3 linked regions of the Oreochromis niloticus genome follow. The protein of the gene in region 2 binds, or shares a complex with, the protein of the main gene of each other region. Links are inferred from orthologs where the notes say so. Each region holds a gene or a part of one and is shown on either strand. Other genes may lie near its edges. The genes, in order: mms19, ercc2 and polr2d.

Region 1 (7,580 bases), on a different chromosome or scaffold from region 2:
CGTATAATCCCAGACTTTTATAAATCACTCTTTGATGACTCTGAATGCTGTTATTAGTCATGTTGATTTTTATCATATTGGAGATGAAGAAGAGTGTAATGATTTTTTAGACTCTGACAGTATTCTAAATATAGTTTAAAATAAAGTTAATAAATGTATTCCAAGGTGCTGCACATCGACAAATCACCTAAAAGCAGCCTTACTGGGTCTGATTAATATCACCAGTTTGTAATTAAACTGTGTTATCTACAGTTGCTGTAACCTGCATGTTGTCCCTGTCAGGTCAGCTGAATAATGAAGATTCACTACTCATTTAAAATCTGGTTAGATCCCAACTGTTTTTTCAAAAAAATATATAATAATGAAATGATTCTGTGTAAATGAGTAAACATCTCTGCTGTTAAAATCACACTTTTCCCCTCTTCTGTTTTTTTAACGAAAACAACACGATCCAACATGACCCACAGAATTAAACAGGAGGGTCTTGACCGTTGCCATGGTGAACATAGTCTGGAACCAAAAACTCAGAGCTTACATTTAGAGTTTGTTAAATCTGCTTTCTGGAACAAAGCCCAGGTCACAGTACCATCCCTCCTGTAAACATTTCCAGTTTAACAACTGGTAGCTGAGCACAAGTATTTCACTGTCAGCCCTCCATTTGCATCTTTTACAGTATGGCTGTTATCCTAAAATATTAGCCAAACAGAGGACAGTGTGTCAACGCCTTCCATTACTGCTGTGAGATTGCCCGACTTTTAAAGCTCATGCTTAACTCTTAAATCACTGGTTACTTCAACATGACCTGCTTCCTTCCACAGAGCTTTCTGTCTCTATTAACTGAGGTTTTGTGAATCAAAACATAATCTCTTACCCGCCTCTCTGGTCTCCATGATGTTGATAAGCATGCTGTAGACACATGCTCTCTCTGATAGCATCAGAGACTGCAGGGGAAATAAATACATTTGTTATTAGTAGGAACAGTTTTAGATGAGTCAGTTTTACCAGCAAAAACAATAACAGAGAGGAAACAAGAACATCTAACAAGTGTGGCTAGATGTTTCCGACAGTGTGTTACATTAGGTTTTAAAAGCATTAATGTCGGAAAAATCAAACAACTGCGAAACTAGGAAAAGTCATAAAACGTCCACTAAAGTCAGAATAAACAACTCAGACAGTCGAACTGTTGATATCATATTACAAAAAAAAAAAGTGGAATGTAAAATGTGAATTGTTTGGTTAATCATAATAAATTATTTGATTAATGGTGAAAACTCATGCACTGCAAATTGCTTAAATCTAATTTCTAACATTAGCATTTTGTCATAACCCTCCAAGTACAGTGATCTAGATTAGTTATAAATGTAAGGTGATTTATTTATAAGCAACAACTTGATCTTGACAACAATTTCGGTTAAGTAAAATACATAATGCAGTCTTTGTAAAATCCATATTCTCTTCAATTCCAACTTTAAAGAACACAAACACATCAAAGCTCACAACTAAGTATTGAAACTATGAAATTATGTAGGTAAAAATCAATCCAGCACTGTTGTTATTCCTCACAATAACACTTTAAATGTACAATATGACAGTCTCACCTGTACATGGATGTCCTGGAACACTGACCTCAGCATGGACACAGCTGAGCCAGGAGGCAGGTTTGTACATTTTGTCTGAATGGGGGGAAAAATGCACATTAAAAAAAAAGAAAGAGGAAATGCATAACCTGCCTCACATTTGGAACTTCTCAAAAAAGTCCCCCAGCCTGAAATAAAGTTACAGATTTGAGCAGAAACAAAATGTTTTCAAAGAACGACTAACCAGCGCCTTGAGCCCCTTTAAGACGGGAGGTGTGACGACATAATGATCCTTCAGACGGTTTTCATAGAAGGCAATGAGCACTTCCACTGTGGAGAAGAACAGGAAGAAATGCTGAGTGCTGATCGCCCCTTGACATGAATAAGCGTCATCGGAAGACATATATGGATATAAAAATGCAGTTATTTGAAAGCATTTTTGATTTGTCACTTTGCACGAAGCCGTACAATGCCAGCACAGTATATGGAAGGAGAAAGGTGTACCTTCTCTCTCTGTAAGATCTCCATAGCACTCCTGCAAAACCTCAGAGAGCAGATGGACTCCTCGGGCTCGAGTGTGAGGCTGAGAACTGGTCAGACTGGACCTTTAATAGGAAAGGGAATGAAGATAGAAGTTGGTATTAGATAGGAATGTAATTGCAAACTCTGGCTGATATTTTCCCCTGACATGACGATGAAGATTGCTTACCCCAGTGCTTCCACCAGCTGCAGAACTGTAAACTTCCCATCTTTGACACCTGATCAAAAAACCCCCAAATAAGTTTAGTGAAGTGGAGTGATGCGCTATCGCAATGCAAATACACGCATGCTCTAACTCTAGTAGCTGTACCAGGTTATAACTCAAAGGTAAGGCCACAGGGTTCATTGACAGGGTACTTCTACACAAACACAGCAGCTAGCAAGCAGCATGTGCTTTAACCGCTGCGGACTAGCATCAAATTAAGAGTCCTTGTGAAGAGACAATGTGTTCAAACTTGATGCATACATCCAGAATGTGCATTTACGCCAACAAAATGAGCAAATATATTTTCACGGCGAATGCTTGCTCTTTATCTTGCGGTTACAACACTACACAGGATGTTGTAGCGCTAAGTTAGCTAGTTAACCATCACGTCTCGCTGCGCATCCTCGAAGAGCAGCTCTACAGCCTCTCCCGCGTTACTTTTGTGAAAAATGCATCGTAAATGTCACCGGCAAACCGCGACGAAAGCCTTTTACCTTTTGCCGCATCTTTAGCCTTGCTGTCCTGCAGTCCAGACACAAATTCCTCCACCAGAGACAGCGCCAAGGTACTCTCCGCAGCCATCGTGTCCCTGTAACTACTTCGCTGGCACTACGCATGCGCGAAAACTTTAGGTGAATCGCGAAAAGCGACTGGTTTTAGATTATAATCTCATAAAAATATAACCTTTAAAAACAGTATAATATTATTTCCACACAAAACAGTGTCTTTTCATCTTTATAGAATGAAAAGATTTACCGAATGGTGGAAGAAAAGCTTCAATATTATGTCCTTTAATGCTGCATTCACGTACCGTCCGAACAATACTCTACAAATACTAGAACTCGCAAAAGTGGAATTCTCTTGATGTTCCTGATGTACATCCTCTTCCTTCCACTGAAGTTTTGCTTTTAAGAGGTTCCAATTAATTACTACTAGTATAATTTCAAGTATAGACATTAGGAGAACGTGTAGCTGTTGTATGATAACTCCGGTGTACAAATTAATTTGCGTACTCCTGCATTCATAATTGTGTCAAGTCCTGACGCAATAGAAACCAACACCTGGCTGGATGCTTTTGCGCAAGCGTAAAGAAAAAAGTTCGGCGGCGCTAGCAGACCGCCGCTGGTCACCTTTCACCAGCGAAGTGGAGAGAATTTTTTTTTGGGGGGGGGGGCTATTTAAAGAAAAGACTGTACCGAGCTCGTCAAAGAACTGAAGTACTCCTTCGTACGGCGGACAGAGGGAGGCTGTAATGACCCGCTACGTTTGTCATAGACGGAACATGCGGGGAAATGATCTCGTGCGCGCGGAAGTTTGTGTTTACTTACGCCGCGGTAGCTAGCGTGTTGGCCCTGTTAGCCTGTTAGCGAGAAAGGTGCGCTGTGCCTGGACGGGTTAACAGCAACACTTACAAGTCAGCCCAGCTTAACGAGCTACGTTAAACAGTAGAAACATACTGTATATATCCTGAAGCTAACAACGAGCTGGTGGCAGATGCTGCGGATTGCTCAAACTCTTGAAACATTGGTGCGGGCCACGAGCCGTGAACTCTGCGTGCGCGTGTCACACGCAGGCAGAAATTATTTACAAAGAGGGCACTTTAAGCCCTAATCTGAAACGTATAGAGCTGCAAAACGTGATTTAAATATTAACTGCCGCCCTCAGTCTTGCGTCGCTGTGCGCACGAATCATCCTCCTCATCGGACCTAGTACAACATCCTCGTCCGCAATGGGGCCCCTGTTTAGCCATTGAGACCCGTGGAAGCGATCTGGAGCCCGTTAACCATGGGGGGATGTATGGGCAGATACTTGGAAGGCTGGGAGGACTCGCAGAGCCGGGGCTCCTCCAGGAACGGTGGACGAGGAGGTAAGGCAACATTGTGTGGATGTTGTATAAATATGCGGGGAGGTTTCTTTGAAACATCAGAGCTGGAAACTTAAAATCATACAGCAATAGTGTCTCTGACCGTTCATGATTAGTGATGCCAAAAAAAAAAAAGAAGAGAGAAATATTCCTGCGTTGATAGTTTTGTGTTGCCAATAGCAATAGCAGGTTTAGACTTTACTCAGAGTGCATTTCTGGTCACCACTTGGCCCTTTTTTGTCTTGTGGCTGCTGTTAAACAGAGGTATCTGGGCAGGTGCACGAAATCTCCATTCACGATTACTCACACACACATCTTAAACATGTATGAATTGTTTAGAAGGGGTTTAGATCTGGGTGGGTTGGTTAAAGTTACCAGATTGTCTAGTTACAGAAAGTGGAAGCAGGTTGGGAGGTGGCAGTTTGCATTTTGTGTGAGGAAAGTGGATTCTGTTGTAGCTCTCTTTGATGTGTGCCTCTTCTGCATCGGTAAAAAAAAAAAAAAGGAGTTTATTCTTTAGCTTTGACAAGGTTTTTTTCTCATCTTATCAGTTCAGACTGGTGAAGCAGTATATTCAGATAACATCTGTAACAAAGCTGATGGCAGTAAACTCGTTGGGTAATTTTCGTATATTAAAATCTAGGGTGTAAGCTCTGTGTTGTGGTTACTGTAACAGCCAGCTACATTACATTAATTCCAAAAGTTGCTCTCTTTTCACATCAGTTCATGTCTGTTGGTTACGGACTTTCCTGAAAGTTAACATAATAATAAACTGCTACTTTTTTTAACCAACCTGAAGTTAACCATCAACACACAGGCTCCGTGCAGCTGAATTATTAGACACTGGGAACTTCTCCTTAGTTTCGATTTACAGAAAACAATGCTGATTATATTTTGTGTGACCTTGTTATGATACCCTCAGTCATTATTGGGAGATTAGCGCTTTACAGCCTGGTAGGTTCATGAATGGGGGTCACATAAACACATTGGGATGGGAAAAGACTTTTCAGCTTTTTCAGATTTCTGTCATATTGCTTTAAAAGCATGCTCACTTGTGTGACTACAGTGCAGGCCCACTTGAGCTCAGTGTTTGCCTTAGAGTGGCTGCTCAGGAAACTAAATGTCTGTTATTCATTTGGATGCAGGTTCTGTCCCTTTGATTTGTTACTGCTGGAAAGTTTTTCAGTACGCCTTTTTCTAGTGGGAATTGTCTCCAGTTTGCATCAGAAAGATGGGAGGTTTTTAAGATTGATTCCAGCTTTCGCCATATAAAAAAGGGCGTTGTTTGAATAGACTTTCTGACCCCTGCTTATAGAGTTGCATCCTAAAATTAGACACTAACATAGATTTTTGATGCCAATATGACCTTCTAAGTAAGTTTCTTTGTCGTGTGCCAGAGTAGCTATTTAAAGTTAAAGCTGTCACAGCCAGCATACCCAGGCTTTCTGGCAGTGGCTCATGTTGATTTCCCAACTTGATTAGACTCAACATGCTCCCTTTGCTAGACGAGGCTTCGATCAAGAACAAGTCACATCATGCCCCGCTGCATCATTGACTGACACTGACTTTTGTCTGTTACATACACGCTCATAAAGAAACACCACTTGATAAGAGAAGGAATTGGATAGCTTATATGGGATCTCAATTTTTCCATTTGTTCTAATTTCGTTTGGATGAGAGCTCAGTAATTTGTGTTACTATGTTCGTGTTAGGTCTGCCTACCACATGCTCAAAGGAACAAAAAGGAAGCTTGTTTGTATTGTCATGCTGAAACAAAATAATGGAAGAACAAGTTTGGACTTTAAATAAAGATATGCAGACACCCGTTGAAATTATCATTTGTCCCAATAAAGGGATTTTATTGTGGAAGTGTTGGAAGTTACAGAATATACAAGTTAGTAACACATTTAGAAGCAGCACAGATGTAACTGAAAGGTGATTAGAAATGCACAATTTCCAGTTTATCTTAAATATTGATTTTTATAAAGTCAAATATCAATCAGGCTTTAAGAGTATATAAAACCTGCTGAATATATATATTCACAAGGTTTGCTTGCTAGTTTTGTAAATCCCTTAATAATAACAGTAGACTGATTAGCCACGATAACGTCAAAGCTCTCAAAGATTAGGATCTCAAGAATCAACAAAATAATTCACTGGAAACTAAGCTGAACTGTGAAGGAAAGTGAAACCTGCCCGTTCCAAGGTGGTGTATCTATTTTGAATGTAATTGCTTCAGAAAATAGCTTGATTAAGGAGAAACACATTAATTTAGTTGACAATGTCTGTAATTTAGTGGTGTTGTGCTTTTTTGTTTGTTTTTGTTTTTGTTTTTTTAAGCATCTCTGTAACAGTGGTTTGCAATTTCAGTCAAAAGCAAATATAGATCAAACCTCAAACCAGCTTCCCCATGAGTGACTCTCAGCACTGTTTGTATCCAGCTGTCTCAGACTAACCAGAAATCAGCTGGGCTGTTGTATTGTCATGTCAAGGCTCGATTCTGACATGGAGGCGTTCAAGTCATAGTTTCACTTTATTGGCTCGTCTCGTACCGAGCAGGGTTTCTGCTACATCAGCACATCATCGCTATGGTTGAACCTAGGGCTGCTCAATTAATCGAATTTTAATCTCGATTACGATCTGGGTTTTGAACGATCATTAAAAATGACTGAGCCGATTATTAGCACCTCCCTCGTGCTTTACTCTCGCGCTGCTCCGTGTGGCAAATCGAGCGCACCTCTCTGCGTTTCGAACACGCGTCACAACAATTAAGAGGACCCGAGGGAAGCTCGGAAAGCTAAGCATAAGTTATTTGGAGAGGAGAGGATAATGGCTGCTGAAGAAAGAATGCCGCTGGTTGAAAAGAGAGGTAAAACGACTTCAGTGGTGTGGAAACCAATGTTCCCTCTAAGCTGCGCATGTGCGCAATTGCGCACTGCTGGCACGGTCTCTGCGCACAGAAAATCTGCGTTGCGCACAAAAAAAATCTAACCTGAATTGAAATTAAAATTAAAACTTTAACAATTCTGTTTTGCAGTGTTAGTCAGTGAGTGACTGGCTGCTCCTGTATGGGATTAGAACGATGCCACCTTATCCTACAGTCCAGCCAATAATGCGATTCACATTCGTATATACGCAGCCAATCAACGTCGTTGACAGGCTATGACAGCGTCCTTATGTGCCGACACCGGTGTTTTAGCTAGCAAAGCGGCGTGGCTGATGTGCAGTGAAGCCACATTAATGACAACGTGTACAACCATTGGAGATGTGAGCAGGACAGACGGAACAATTGACGGAAAAAGTGTGGACTTTATACCAGTTTTTAAATTGTGTTGATAGGTCACGTAAAACCAGAGTTATGATAAAAATATCTGCAATGTTTGGTTTTCTTCCT
Region 2 (7,327 bases):
CACATTCCTGAAGTTTCTGAGGAACTTGGAGGACTGACCGGGCAGCAGACGGCGAGGCAGCCAGAGATCCCAGTCTTGATCCCCTGCATGCTGTTTGCCTGAGCCGGGATAAAGACGAGAGTTTGAGGAGACGAGGGCTCGGCGTTTGCTTTGATATGGATTTTCTGCGTAGGAGGGGAAGACAGAGGGAGCTGATCTGAGGTCAAGGCCTTTCTCCTCTCCCTTCCTGAGTCACATGTCAGTGTGAGGCTCAACCGCCAGGTTGCTATCGCTACTCTGACCGACCCAAATACTTGTTTACTCGCTTGGAGAAGCAGAACAGACTGGATATCTGAGCTGAGAGTGGGAAAAACAGCCAAGAGAGCTTCTTATCAACTCAGTGCTGTTTGCTTTCCGCTGAATTTCTCCTGCTGGAGCTCAAACGGCCCGAGGAACCCAACATCCACATCAAGATGCCTGCAAAGACGCCAATGTACCTAAAGACAACGACTCCCAAGAAGGGAAAGAAGCTGAAGCTCCGGGACGTCCTCTCAGGTGACATGATCAGCCCCCCGCTGGGCGACGTGCGTCACAGTGCCCACGTGGGGCCTGAAGGCGAGGGCGACATGTTTGGAGACGTCGGCTTCCTCCAGGGTAAGATGGACATGCTGCCACCCACGAGCCGGACGCAGAACGGCCACGCCCGCTCGCACAGTGTGGAGAGAGACCTGGGAGACGGCCTCACCGCGAAAGAGGACGTGCACAGCTACGCTTTTAACGGCTACCATTACCAGCACTCGTCCAGCGGCCTGCTGAAGAACACCATCTCCATGCCTGTGTTCATCGCTCACGAACAGGCTCCACCCAAACCGCCACGCCTCCATCTGGATGGTCCCTCCCACCACCATCAGCACCCTCCTGCGGCGACCCCCAAACAGAACAATGGCTGCAGCCAGACAGACGGTCAGCGCCAGCAGCACCCGACCGTGTCGCTCTGTGAGAATGGCGTGGTGGGTCGCTTGGCGTCCGAGCCCTGCCGTGACATCTCCCTCTCCCCAGCTATCCGCAGACTCGTCCCCTCCTCCGGCTCCCTCTCTGAGGGCTCCTCTGAGGACTCCATGTCAGAGATCTGCGGGCCGCAGGACGTTCGCCGGGGCCTCAGCCTGGACTCCGACACCTACCTGAGCAACGAGGATCTTCGAAGCGAACGCAGCGAGTCACCCTGCACCGTCTTCCACCCCGCCGGCCTCACAAAGCCCTCCGGTGTGTCGCGCTCCGACTCCATTGCGGGGTTGAACCTGGATCTGGGCCCATCCATCCTGGAGGATGTGTTGAGCATCATGGACCGCTACAAAGCTGAGGACAACCACTGCGAGCTGTGATTGAGATTAATGAGACAAAAAGATATTTTTATACATGGTTTAATATATCCTTTAAAACTCTGAACAGACTGATGGAGACAAAAGATGGAGGGACTGACGGAGGAGGGAGGGGAACTTATATTTCCGCCTACTCCTGGGAGCCGAGTCTGAAGGTGATAAAAGACTTCAAGAAGCTTGAAATGCAGGACGTTGCTGCTCGAGCCTTCAAAGCTGAACCTCATGCACATAGATTTTAAACTATAACATGGGGTTGCCAACGGTTACGTGCACACCGTCATTCTCACGGTGTCCAAAGAAACCTGCAGACCCTCCTTTATTTAAAAAAAATACACCCATTTGCATGTATGTTTTGGGCAGGTGTTTTCTGCCCATTTTAGAACAAAACAGGTCCATAAACATCCTGTTGCTTTCAGCTGATGGGGGAAGTCTTTCCTGTGAGTGTATTAAATACCTGCAACTTCACAAGGATACATGTGAGTGTCCCCACAGCGAAACAGCTGCACATATTTACCAAAACAGTCCAACAGAGCTAACTTTATTAGTTATTTAGAACTATTAACTAACCCTGCAACAAAACTTTTCAACTTACAGTGTTTATGGATGTTTACCATAACAGCAGGCTGTATAGGAGGATGACACCTCTAATCATTAATTTAACCAATAAAATAAGCCAAGAGGTGTTTAGAATTTTACTAGCAAAACAAATTTGGCAGATTTATCCTGAAAATTACCTAAAATATGTCGCAGCACCTCTCTCTAGGTTATTTAAAGCGAGGAGTGATCCAAAAATGACAAAAAAAAGATTATCATCTTTAAAAACTGTCCCACATTCTGCGACAGCCTCCCAAATTTTTAATGGACCTAGTATAAAAAAGTGAAACAGCTGTGCTGATCCACAAGTACATCCCAGTGTGGGATAGAGAAGTGTGCCAAAACTACCGAATCGCTTGCACAAACAAGTTATGAGAGGAAATACAGGCTGTCCTTCACCTGTGACCTGCATCATTTTTTGTGTTTAATTATCCCACATAAACATCGCCACCCTCATCTCACCCCAACTGACAGCTGAAAGTTGGCAACCCTGCTCCAAGTTAACCAGCACAGTTGCAGTAACATCACCACTGCTCCCTTTAATCTGTATCGCCTGTTAATCTGACTCTCACTGAGGATTTCCTGCTCACTTCTCTGCAGAGTCAAATATACTTGTCTCCAGATCGGCCTGGGAAAACAGGAGGAATCTCCAGCTGCACAGCTATTAATTCTTTCAGGATAAATGTGTATTTCTGCAGCAGAGTTCATGTTACGTACATAGACTAAGCTACAAACTGCTAATACTACTAGTTTAATGCTGCAGGTTAAATTCTTCATTTTGGCTTCCTAAGGTGTGATTTGGGGCTGAAATGTTGACATCTTCACTCTTTTACATCAACTCCGCTGCTGCTGACTTTACTGTCATCCTCTAATATGATTGTATCCCATTTAATCAACATTTCACTGGCAGGTTTAACCTTGTTTTTTAGTTTTTTATCATCAGAGAGAAGCTGGGTATGCTTAATGTTGGTGTTGTTTAAAAGCTTTAAGGGTAAGAATAAGAAAAAGTGCTGCTTTGTTGATCAGTTTTGAGATATCTGTCTTTATACATGCTGTGGCTCACTCTCTGCCTCCCTGACATTCACTGTCTGCATGATCACAGTAGCCTATTATTCAAATGTCATCTATGGTGTATGATTAATCTGTAAATGTACGAATAAAATGTTTCCTACTGCAAAAACTTTGCGGTTTCTTCTTCGCAGACAGACGCTTTATAGACATTAACACTAGTAGGCATACTTTATGGGTGTTTTTCACATGCAGCGATGAGATGAATAAAGATTTCCAAACCTCTGAACCACAGTGACGTAATTACAGTAAAAAAAAAAAGGGAAAAAAAGTCTTTTTTAATAGTTTTCAGATTAAATTTCAAACCATTAAAAACTAGTTTTCAATTCAGTGCAGGTGCAGTAAAAGTATAAATCTGTATAAATAAATGTTAATATGTGTGAAATTAAAGAATCTGGACAGCAAAAAAAAGTTTAATTTTGTTGTCGGTCTATTTATAATTATTTATTAATATATTCTGAGAATTCAGATTACTTTGTTTTGGTTGCGGATGAAAAATTCTTCCTAATCGGAGTATTTTGAAAGGATACATCAGACGTTATAGTGTGCACAAGGGCGATTTTATTGCTATGTGCTGCCCCCGTGTGGTCACTCTTTGGAATGGCAACTCTTTAAAATGACTAAAATCTCATTAATGCAGCTGACTTAGAACTACTTCCGGAAAAGCCTGTGAAAATAAAGTTATTCGGGTAGGGTATTCCAAGTAATACAAAAAAATATAATGAAATTACCCAACACATGCATGCCTTTGCTGTACACGCTGAAGCCCAAATAATAAACGAAAGCATCGAGAAAGCACAGCTGTGAATTATAATTAAAACGTAAAAAGTAAAACGACCGAAAAGTCACATTTACCTCTACACAGTAAGATGTAACGGCTGTTTGATAATACACAGTATACCATTAAACACTGAAGCTCGTGCGATTCTAACTGATGGGTTATTTTAGCGTTTATATTACAAACTATTCACCGGAAATTAAATTGTTATATGACTCGAATGTGGTCAAAGTTAGCGCCGATAGCAGCAGGCTAACACTTCCAGTTGAAGTAATCGTCGTCAAATTTAAATATAAATACATAAATAAAATAAATATAAGGAGACATTAACTATAAACTAATTAAATAAAGGGTTTTTAAATGTAACTTCGAAGCATTACAGTGGACTATTTAGTTTTTCTTTTGGCCTGTAGGGGGCCGTAATCCGTCTGATAGCGTTTAAACGACAAACGAAGAAGAATTAAATGCTGCAGCAGGCTGTGGCGTTGCTAATGCGGCGTTTTGTTTTGTGTTTTTTGCGCACATTCAAATTTTAATGACTGTTTTAAAATAACATAAGTTACGTAAAAAGAAGAGGAGCTGCCGCTAAACGTGCTGTGAAGATGAAGTGAGTGTTTTACTGAGTACAAACAGACAACATGGGCTTTCAGTGTTAGCTCGTTTCCAGCAACTGTGACATACCTGAGCCAAGTCCACATAAAATCAGAGTTTTGTGGCTCTAGTTTATCCAAATCACTGTTTTAATTTTTATTTTAGCTGTCTCGCACTCATTCGCACATACTTGGCTTAAAGATAGTCCAGTATGAAGTCTGTACAGCTGCTGTGCACTGTTAGCATCATTGCTGTTTCCTTGCAGGCTCAACATTGAGGGTCTGCTGGTGTATTTTCCCTATGACTACATCTACCCCGAGCAGTACTCCTACATGCTGGAGCTGAAGAGGACGCTGGATGCCAAGGTGGGTGGTGTCAGAGGTTAATCTGAAGGCGTGGTTTTCATGCACAGGTTCATCTGTGCTCCTATCTACACAAAATACCCTGGGTGTAAGCTGGACTGTCGATCAGTCCAGAGGTTGGATGACACGTGTGAATGAACAGTGGAGAAGAGAGGTGGATTGGATGGAGATGAGTGTCACGAGTCCTTTGTGACAGAATGATATCAGAAAGAGTGAAAGGCAAGGTTTACAAGATGGTAGTGAGATTTGGTATAATGTTTGGTTTGAAGACGGTGGCACTGAAAAAAGACAGGAGGCTGAACTGAGGATGTTAAGATTTTCATTGTGATTGACGAGGATGGTTAGATTAGAGTTGAATACATCAGAGGGTTGAGATGGTTTGTAGACAAAGTTAGAGAGGCTGGGATGGTTTGGACGTGTGCAGAGGAGGGATAGTGGATATATTGATCAGAGGGTGTTGAAGATGGAGCTGCCAGGCAGGAGAGAAGAGGAAGGACTCAGAGAAAATGGATGTGGTGAAGGAGGACATGCGAAGGGGTTGATATATGAAGCCTGTACAGCTGCTGTCGGGGACAGAGGAGGATGCAAGCATAGCAATAGATTCATTTTGGTCTGAAGAAGGTGGAAGACGAGTCATCTTTTTTATCCAGTTGTTATTTCAGTTATTTAAGATAATCAAATTTTCTGCTCTTTGCTGTTTCCAGTTAAAGAAAAGTTCTATTTTTTTCTTGATGTGATCAGTCTAGTCATGTATGTATTTTAAAATTTGAGTTACTTTTTTCCTTCTTTCCTTCCTTGGAGTTGAAGAGATGATTCCTAAAGTTACAGTATTTAGTCCAGATTTTACCTTTTGTGTCACTGTGTCGTATTGTGTTGCTCCTTCAGGGAAGTACAGTGTGTCCATCTCAGATTTCGCTCACGTTTAAAAGTGAGTGTTTACTTTCAGCTGCTGCTTTCTGTGTTAACCGAACCTGTTCCTGTTCAGGGTCATGGAGTCTTGGAGATGCCGTCAGGAACAGGGAAGACCATCTCTCTACTGTCCCTCATTGTGGCCTACCAAAGGGTGAGTTCAGCCTCTCTCATAAGTGGTTTATACTAACAGCTGGTGGTAGATCAGCATGTAAATATGTTCTCTCTCTCTCAGGCTTTCCCTCTGGAGGTCACCAAGTTAATTTACTGCTCTAGAACAGTTCCGGAGATCGAGAAGGTGAGTGGACGTCAAATCAGTCGTCAGTGAAGCGTGTTTCTACTGTGTAACTTTCTTTTTGAATTAAACAAGAAGAAGCGTTCAAAGCCCCGACGTCTCACATGGTGTGTTTGATTCTTTCCGATAAGGTTGTGGAGGAGCTGAGGAAGCTGATGGAGTTTTACACTAAAGAAACAGGAGAGAGCAACAACTTCCTGGCTCTCGCTCTTTCCTCCAGGAAGAACCTCTGCATCCACCCTGAGGTATGAACACCCGCATCCCACGAAGCTAAAGGAGCGATTTAGGATTCAGCTTTCTCCTTTCAAAAGTGACCGACACGCTTGTCTTCTCACAGGTGAGCTCTCTGCGCTTCGGTAAGGAAGTCGATGGGAAGTGCCACAGTCTGACAGCATCATACATCCGCGCACAACATCACAGCAACCCCAACCTGCCCGTCTGTCGCTTCTACGAGGCAAGAACTCACATCAGATGGTGTTTTTCAACAGAAGCAGAAGATATTTTTTTGTAATGGCTGTTGACACGACAGCATCAGGGTTCAACATAACCGGTGGGGTCAGGCGCTTTTGGGGCGGTGATGCTACTGAGTTAGGATGCTAACTGGCTAAATCAGCTCTCATGATTTAAATGAAGTGTAAGAGGTTGCTGAGGTAAAGAGGCAGGAAGATGGTGGTGGTGGTGACACTGTGAGTGTTTCTCTTGGATTTGCATCCAAAAATAGATGCATGAATTTTATAAGATTTAAACCCCCTAAAATGTTTTTTACCACTATAACTAAAATGCATATATGAAGGTATAACTTAGTAACTATTCCTGCATTGCGTTGCATGTGGTTGACTCCTGCTGTCTTTAAGCACGATCCTTTTTGTGCTACATGCAAACTTAGATACATTTGAATGCTTAATAAAGCTTAAAGACGAGTAAGTTCTGTGATCTTTATGGATTAAAAGTTTAAAAACAAGTTCAGGTTTCTATTCTTTAGTAATCTGTTCATTTCTGTGCTGGATGATTACAACTTACTGGCTCGACGTGATTAGTTAGGAGCATTTAATCAGCCTGAAAACTTAAATCCAGCAACTACTCGACACCATCAGATATGCAGATTAAAAAAGTGTTTGGTTTCTGGCTGTCGCCTACATGAACTCAGGAAGTGTTATAGGTCTCAGTTTGAGACTTTTTAGCTCATTGATCTTAACACAGATACAAACTGTAGGTTTACAATGCCTGAAAACTGGAAAACAGGAAAACCTGTTTTGTGTTGCAGGAGTTCGATTCAGTCGGCCGACAGGTGCCTCTTCCTGCTGGCATCTACAACCTTGATGACCTCAAGGCCTTTGGCAGGAGGAAGGGCTGGTGTCCTTACTATCTGGCT
Region 3 (7,205 bases), about 5.2 Mb from region 2:
TGCTGCCCACGGTCTGTCTTTCCCTTTTCACGTAAATGGCCTCCTTGACTCCGCGCTCAAACCAGCGTTCTTCCCTGTCCAGGATGTGTACATCCTCATCATTGAAAGAGTGTCCACTGGCCTGTAGGTGTAAATAGACTGCAGAGTCCTGGCCTGACGAGGAAGCTCTTCTGTTCTTTGATCAGTGGGTTTTGGTCAGTGATTGTTGATCAATGGTCATGGGAATTTGCATAATTATGATTAAGGAACTGACCTCACAGCCCATTGTTCCTTCAGTGGGCTGGTTTCAGTCATTATGCAAATGTACTGTTTATAAGGTTTGGGGAAACCTGCAGTCAGCTGAGACTGAAGAAGTCACTTGGATGAGTGACGAAACGTTTCTCCCACAAAACGCTACGTCCAGATGAACAGATTCAACTTTTGGAGATTTACTTTCCTGGATGATTGAGAATGCATCAAGAGTCCGACATTGTTTTGTCAAAGTTACACACCGATTCAATATTGATTTTAGTGACCTCCGATTGGCCTAAACGGGTGTCATTACTGCCGACGTGAATTATGATCTTACTTTATTTACGTTTACCTTTAGCCAGCAGTTTTAAATTTCCTTCAATGTCGCCTGCTCTGGCCCCTGGAAGACAATTGGTGTCGTAAGCCCCGCCTCTGTTCAAAGATGGTCGCTCACAGTGGACATAAATGGCTTCTTTCACTCCTCTTTCAAACCATCTGTTCTCTCTGTCCAAAATGTGAACATTGGCATTGAAATGGCGTGTCACAAATTTAGAGGATCATCATTTAGCCTGGAGAAATAGTTTGCTGCTTTATAAGAAAGCCCTCCGCAAAGCCAGAACATCTTACTATTCATCACTGATTGAAGAAAATAAGAACAACCCCAGGTTTCTCTTCAGCACTGTAGCCAGGCTGACAAACAGTCAGAGCTCTACTGAGCCAACAATCCCTTTAACATTAACTAGTAATGACTTCATGAACTTCTTCACAAATAAAATTTTTATCATTAGAGAAAAAATTACCAATAATCATCCCACAGATGTAATATTATCTACAGCTACTTTCAGTACCACTGATATTCATTTAGACTCTTTTTCTCCAATTGATCTTTCTGAGTTAACTTCAATAATTACTTCCTCCAAACCATCAACGTGTCTTTTAGACCCCATTCCTACAAAACTGCTCAAAGAAGTCCTGCCATTAATTAATGCTTCAATCTTAAATATGATCAACCTATCTCTAATAATCGGCTATGTACCACAGGCCTTCAAGGTGGCTGTAGTTAAACCTTTACTTAAAAAGCATCTCTAGACCCAGCAGTCTTAGCTAATTATAGGCCAATACTGACAGGGACTAGAAAGAGAGAGCAGATTTCTCCTGTTTTGGCTTCCCTTCATTGGCTTCCTGTTAAATCCAGAATTCAAAATCCTGCTCCTCACATACAAGGTCTTAAATAATCAGGCCCCATCTTATCTTAATGACCTTGTAGTACCATATCACCCTATTAGAGCACTTCGCTCTCGCTCTGCAGGCCTACTTGTTGTTCCTAGAGTATTTAAAAGTAGAATGGGAGGCAGAGCCTTCAGTTTTCAGGCCCCTCTTCTGTGGAACCAGCTTCCAGTTTGGATTCGGGAGACAGACACTATCTCTACTTTCAAGATTAGGCTTCAAACTTTCCTTTTTGCTAAAGCATATAGTTAGGGCTGGACCAGGTGACCCTGAATCCTCCCTTAGTTATGCTGCAATAGACGTAGGCTGCCGGGGATTCCCATGATGCATTGAGTTTTTCCTTTCCAGTCACCTTTCTCACTCACTATGTGTTAACAGACCTCTCTGCATCGAATCATATCTGTTATTAATCTCTGTCTCTCTTCCACAGCATGTCTTTATCCTGTCTTCCTTCTCTCACCCCAACCAATCACAGCAGATGGCCCCGCCCCTCCCTGAGCCTGGTTCTGCCGGAGGTTTCTTCCTGTTAAAAGGGAGTTTTTCCTTCCCACTGTCGCCAAAGTGCTTGCTCATAGGGGGTCATATGATTGTTGGGTTTTCTCTGTATGTATTATTGTAGGGTCTACCTTGTAGTATAAAGCGGATTTAGGCGACTGTTGTTGTGATTTGGAGCTGTATAAATAAAACTGAATTGAATTGAACCTGCCTGTGTGTTTAACTCAGCTAGTTATGAACTGTGGAGCAGCTCCTGTACCTCAACACTGCAGCTGTAACAAAGGCTTTTATTGTTCCTGCTGTGACGTGGATCGGACTTACCTGGGGATCAGGGCTTTGGCCTCCTCGGCGGCTTCTGGACACAGGTTGGCCAAACTGGCGAGCTCGAACTTGTGGAGCTTCTTCTGCAGCAGGAGGCTGAAGACAGAGAGATGACAGGGGTCAGAACTGGATTGCCTCGGACCTGGGCAGGGGCCGGGGGGGCGTACCTGCGCACGGCCGTGATGGTCTCGCGGTTCTTGAAGCGGCTGAAGCGGGCCGTGTAGTTGAGGGTCTTCATGAAGACCTCGGACAGCTCCTGCTCGTCCTCGGCGCTCTCGTTCTGCTGCTTCCTGTGCTCCAGCAACATGTGGACCTCGGAGTTCAGTAGCGTCTCCGCGTTCTCGAACTCTGAGGAGGAGGAGGGGGTTAACATCTGTCAATCACTCAGCACACAGGCTCAGAGAACCCACAGACAGCAGCTCGGTCTGTGTACCCACGTGCACCCACGGACCGCCTGCGCGTGTCGGTAGTTGTTCGAGAGTGCGTGCGCGCGCTGCAGGTACTCACCTTTAGGAAAGAGCAGCTGAGAAGCGTCCTCTTCAACATCACCAACATGCGGAGGAGCCGCGCCGCCTCCAGCCGCCATGTCGAGGAGCAGTCCCGGCTACAGGCCGGGGAGTGTGAAGCCGCCCGGAGGGTGAGACACAGGCGCCCGGTCAAGCCCGGCAGCCCGGTAACAAAGCGCAGGTCGGGGAGGAGGTCGGGGGGTAGAAAGCAGCTCCGCCGATCCGCACCGCAAGAAAACAGCGAGAGCTACTTCCGGGGCGCCCGCGGTCACTTCCGCTCTTTGTGGCGACATTAAAGAACATTATGAAAAACAGAAGGAGGGTGCAGTTTGTGCCAAAGATACGACAATATAAAAAAATAAATTACATAAAACTAGAGAATCAGATCGACAGTTCATTTTCCTGTCTGGCAGGAATCCTTTCAAAGTAACAGTCTCTGCTTGCAGCGCCCTCCTGCGGACGGGAGCGGCAGCGTCTCACTGAGTGTCAGAGAATCGTTTTAAGCAGTTTAAGGAAGATTCTTTTCTTTCATGAGCGCCGGGAGCCGCTGAAACCCGACAAGAAGAAACAGAACAACCGAAATCTGTCTCAGCGGTCGTAAAAGGGAGACTGCGTTGGCCGGGAATCGAACCCGGGTCAACTGCTTGGAAGGCAGCTATGCTAACCACTATACCACCAACGCCTGAAAGCAATGGTGCTGTACCACAATAAAACACACGCAGCATCAGCGACACTCAATATGGCGTAACGTGACGGCTGTGACCTCACGGCAGGGAGGTCCTGGGTATCAGAGAAACTCAGCAGAGGCTTCTCCAAGCACACCGGCCACAAAGTCAACAACCTAGTGTAGCTGTGCAGTACAGCGACGACAGCTCAGACCTGGAAAAACCAAACAGCCACTTCATAACATCAGTTATCAATTTTATTTCTATAGCACATTTAAAAGCAACAAAGTTGCCCAAAGTGCTTCACAAGTAGTTCATGAACAAGAGAAAATGGAAAAATAACACATGATATGAGGCAAAGGCAACATATTTAACATAAAAACAAAACAAACACAAAACAAACCTGATGGTGCTCAAACTGAACTTTGAGTTTCATCAAGCCAGCGTAAAAAAGTGAGTTTCAAGACGAGATTTGAAACACTGTATAGACCAGGGGTCTGCAACCTTTTACACCCAAAGAGCCACTTGGACCCGGTTTCCACGCAAAAGAAAACACTGGGAGCCGCAAATACTTTTTGACATCTAAAATGAAGATAACACTGTATATATTGTTTTTTACCTTTGTGCTTTGTGTGAACAACTAAGGTGTGTTGCTTATGAAATCCATGAAGTGCTACAGAGAAAATTACATTTTATTTACGTAATTAACACATTTTGAACTCTTAAAGAAATATAACAAAAGGAAAGACACCCAGCTGAACTAAAATGATCCATGTAGCAAACAAAAACTGTTGTCAGCCGCCACCCTTATATCTCCTTTGGGCTGTTGGAGCCTTGACCTGACTCTTAAAAAATAATTGGAAAAAAGCACTATGCTGCTGAAAAATGAAAAATAGATATTTGCAAAATTCTGCCTAAATATGTATTTTACCTGGTTAACGCGTGCGGCGGGGCGTGGTTTGCAGCGCCGCTGCAGGGGAGGCGGACGCACCTGAGCGACACCCGCAATCACGCCTCGCCGCCTTTACGTCTGCGCTATCTGTGCTGTTGTGTTGTTGGTGGTGTATGTTGGGCTGTGAGCTGAAAGGCTACAGCCGGCTGTATGCGTACAGCAACCGTGTGTGAAAAGTGCTCAATAAAGAGATGCTCAAAAGCGTGTTCATGGAAACATCGTCGGGTCTGCCGTGATATGTTTACAATGGGACTTTGCTCCTGAACCTCTGTGCACAGAGTCCGCAAATCGGGGATATACGAAGTCAGTTTACTCACGGTGTTTGTCTTTATCATAGTTCACGGTGGAGAACAGCTGCTGACATAATGTGTATCCGAAGATCCGTAGGGTTGAAAGTCTCGATAAATGCACGGCGTTTCGGCGGGTATACCGGCTTCCGCGAGTGTGACTCTTATTTTGAGCGATGAAAAAAATAATAGAATATAATTTTATTTTTATATTTCAAAATCACAACAATCTTCCAATTTAGAACTACGAGTTAAAAAGAACTAACATAAATAAAATACACTTCAGCTAAATACTTCTAATTTATTTTCCCAAACCACGCGGAGCCGCAGTATAAGGACTAAAGAGCCGCATGCGGCTCCGGAGCCGCGGGTTGCCGACCCCTGGTATAGACTCTGAAGTACGAATATCAAGTGGCAAGTGATTCCCAGTGTTGGGAAGGGTACATTTAAATGTATTTCACTACAGATTGCAGAATACATGCCCCAAAATGTATTTTGTAACATATTTGTAACTGAATACTTTGGATTACTTAATCTATTGTCATAATTTTTACAACTACATGAATGTCCTATTGCTGTGTGACTTATTACTATTACTGAAGGTTACTCGCCATACCAATACCAACTAGATTTTTAAATCTTAATATAAAATGAGTAAAAGTAGGGTGGACATTAGGTAAGGCTGCACTTTTTGCAGCGATCTCGTACAGAAAACTATTTCTGTATCAGTAATATGTTTTCTTTCTGTCTGTTAATAATCATGTGGAACTGCACATGATTATTTGCAACTAGCAGGTTGTTAATGCTATCCATCAAGTCTAAAAACAGCATGTTAATACGTGGAGATCCTGAAAGCTGCTCCAAAAAGGATCAGATTATATTTGAAATATTTGTTCAATTCTCCTCCAAACCCCAGCAGCTGTCTGCTGTAAGTTTTGACTGTTTACTAAAATAATAATAAAAGTGTTCCAACATCTCACTGGTTTTGTTCAGGCATACATGTGTACCGTGTTTATTAAAAGAGATGAAGCTTGCGTTTCTGTCATGTAGTGATTATGCTTAGCTGTATGACGCTTATTAGACATGAAACAGATGATACATAAAAGTGAATTTTGCCAAAGTGCTTAAGATTCTTTTTTAAATTATCTTTTTTTCTTAACGAAATCTACGACATCATGTGTAATTTTTTAATGTCATGTGTAATTTCCATTGCAAATATTAATCACAGTTAAATTAAGAGGGGATGGAGCTGTGATGTCATCACGTACACTGCCGTTACAATTGTAGAACGATTGCGCTACATTCTCGGGAAGTCCGAACTCCCGTGTGAACTTAGGTCTGGACTAGTGAAAGTATTTAGAAACAGTCTAACAGTCTGCAGTCTATGAACTAACCTCAGCTAACACCAGCTAACAATGTTAGCTGTGTTGAGTATCCTTCATTAATAGTAATAAAAATCACACAGCAATAGCACATTGAAGATAATGAAGTTTCCCATTCTACTTTCTACTATTCCCATTCGGAATTTCCAAGTAAGAAATGCATTGTGAAGGCCCGATCTCCTCTATGCTTCAGTCGAGACCTCGGCTGTACTAAGAGCATCTGGCTGGACCATCTCGGTGCTCTTTTGGGGTTTTATATGTTGAGGAGTTTCCTTAAAGCATTTAACACTTTGAGAGTAAGTAAAAGACTCATGAAATCAATTTAGATGCAGCTGTTCATCTGCATCCAAAGTTCAAAGGTCACTCTCTGAGAATGCCAGTGTTCACATTGTGGACAGAGAAAACAGTTTGAAAGAGGAGTGAACGAAGCATCTATGTCCACTGTGAGCGACCATCTTTGAACAGAGGGTGGGGCTTACCACACCAACTGTCTGCCATCTATAATCCGGTCGTTTTAACGCCCACTCACACCTTGGGTCAGTTGATTTCAGTAGGTCACATGATGGGGGTCAGGGTCTTTGAGTGGTTTCACCTGCTGATGATGACACACACCCTTTTCACACCTTGGGTCATGTGATGAGCAGTGTTGGTCAAGTTACTTGAAAATACTAATTAGTTACTAATTACTGATCACTTCTCTAAGAAAGTAATCCCATTACTTATGTGTAATAAAGCAACAGACCTTTCAGCCCAATTCTATTTTTTCTCCATAAACCATCATATAAAACTGAATCAAATGAAAAAGTCTCTTTTTAAAACTTGTTTCATTAGTTTTAATCTTTTAACTTTTTGCATCAAGCAAAAATTAAATTATATGCAACAGTCTTTGACTTGAAGAAATATGTTTAACATTTAAACATATTGTCTGCATATTCCAGCATATAAACTAAAATCATGTTTTGTGTTTACACTCACTCTTTCAAATAGATGCAAGTAAAACACAGCAGAAAATAAATAAAATCAAAGATTCAGCAGCACTTAAATCTATTGTCACCTGTTTAGCAGCAATGGGGCGGGTGGAGGTTTGCCCACAGCGGTCATTCAAGATTCAAGATTCAAAGATTCAAAGTGCTTATTGT

Evidence for each region.
Region 1: ercc2 (region 2) and mms19 share a complex: the UniProt entries of both Homo sapiens proteins name them as parts of the MMXD complex. The link is inferred for Oreochromis niloticus from reciprocal best matches to the Homo sapiens genes ERCC2 and MMS19.
Region 3: ercc2 (region 2) and polr2d share a complex: the UniProt entries of both Homo sapiens proteins name them as parts of the TBP-based Pol II pre-initiation complex. The link is inferred for Oreochromis niloticus from reciprocal best matches to the Homo sapiens genes ERCC2 and POLR2D.

Annotation. Positions count from the first base shown.
Region 1 is NC_031973.2:22,199,352-22,206,931, reverse strand, and holds the start of mms19 (MMS19 nucleotide excision repair protein homolog), read right to left. Parts: upstream 3,024-7,580; 5' UTR 2,905-3,023; coding exon 2,817-2,904; intron 2,336-2,816; coding exon 2,287-2,335; intron 2,183-2,286; coding exon 1,822-2,182; intron 1,674-1,821; coding exon 1,599-1,673; intron 942-1,598; coding exon 872-941; intron 1-871. Other genes in the region: ubtd1b (ubiquitin domain-containing protein 1), read left to right, coding at 4,108-4,189. UniProt on the Homo sapiens protein: Key component of the cytosolic iron-sulfur protein assembly (CIA) complex, a multiprotein complex that mediates the incorporation of iron-sulfur cluster into apoproteins specifically involved in DNA metabolism and genomic integrity.
Region 2 is NC_031979.2:34,778,824-34,786,150, reverse strand, and holds the start of ercc2 (general transcription and DNA repair factor IIH helicase subunit XPD), read left to right. Parts: upstream 1-4,223; 5' UTR 4,224-4,400; coding exon 4,401-4,405; intron 4,406-4,654; coding exon 4,655-4,754; intron 4,755-5,736; coding exon 5,737-5,814; intron 5,815-5,895; coding exon 5,896-5,958; intron 5,959-6,086; coding exon 6,087-6,200; intron 6,201-6,292; coding exon 6,293-6,409; intron 6,410-7,219; coding exon 7,220-7,327. Other genes in the region: zgc:154093 (cdc42 effector protein 3), read left to right, coding at 453-1,361. UniProt on the Homo sapiens protein: ATP-dependent 5'-3' DNA helicase. Component of the general transcription and DNA repair factor IIH (TFIIH) core complex, not absolutely essential for minimal transcription in vitro.
Region 3 is NC_031979.2:40,020,893-40,028,097, forward strand, and holds the start of polr2d (DNA-directed RNA polymerase II subunit RPB4), read right to left. Parts: upstream 3,053-7,205; 5' UTR 2,861-3,052; coding exon 2,782-2,860; intron 2,623-2,781; coding exon 2,442-2,622; intron 2,371-2,441; coding exon 2,275-2,370; intron 1-2,274. UniProt on the Homo sapiens protein: Core component of RNA polymerase II (Pol II), a DNA-dependent RNA polymerase which synthesizes mRNA precursors and many functional non-coding RNAs using the four ribonucleoside triphosphates as substrates.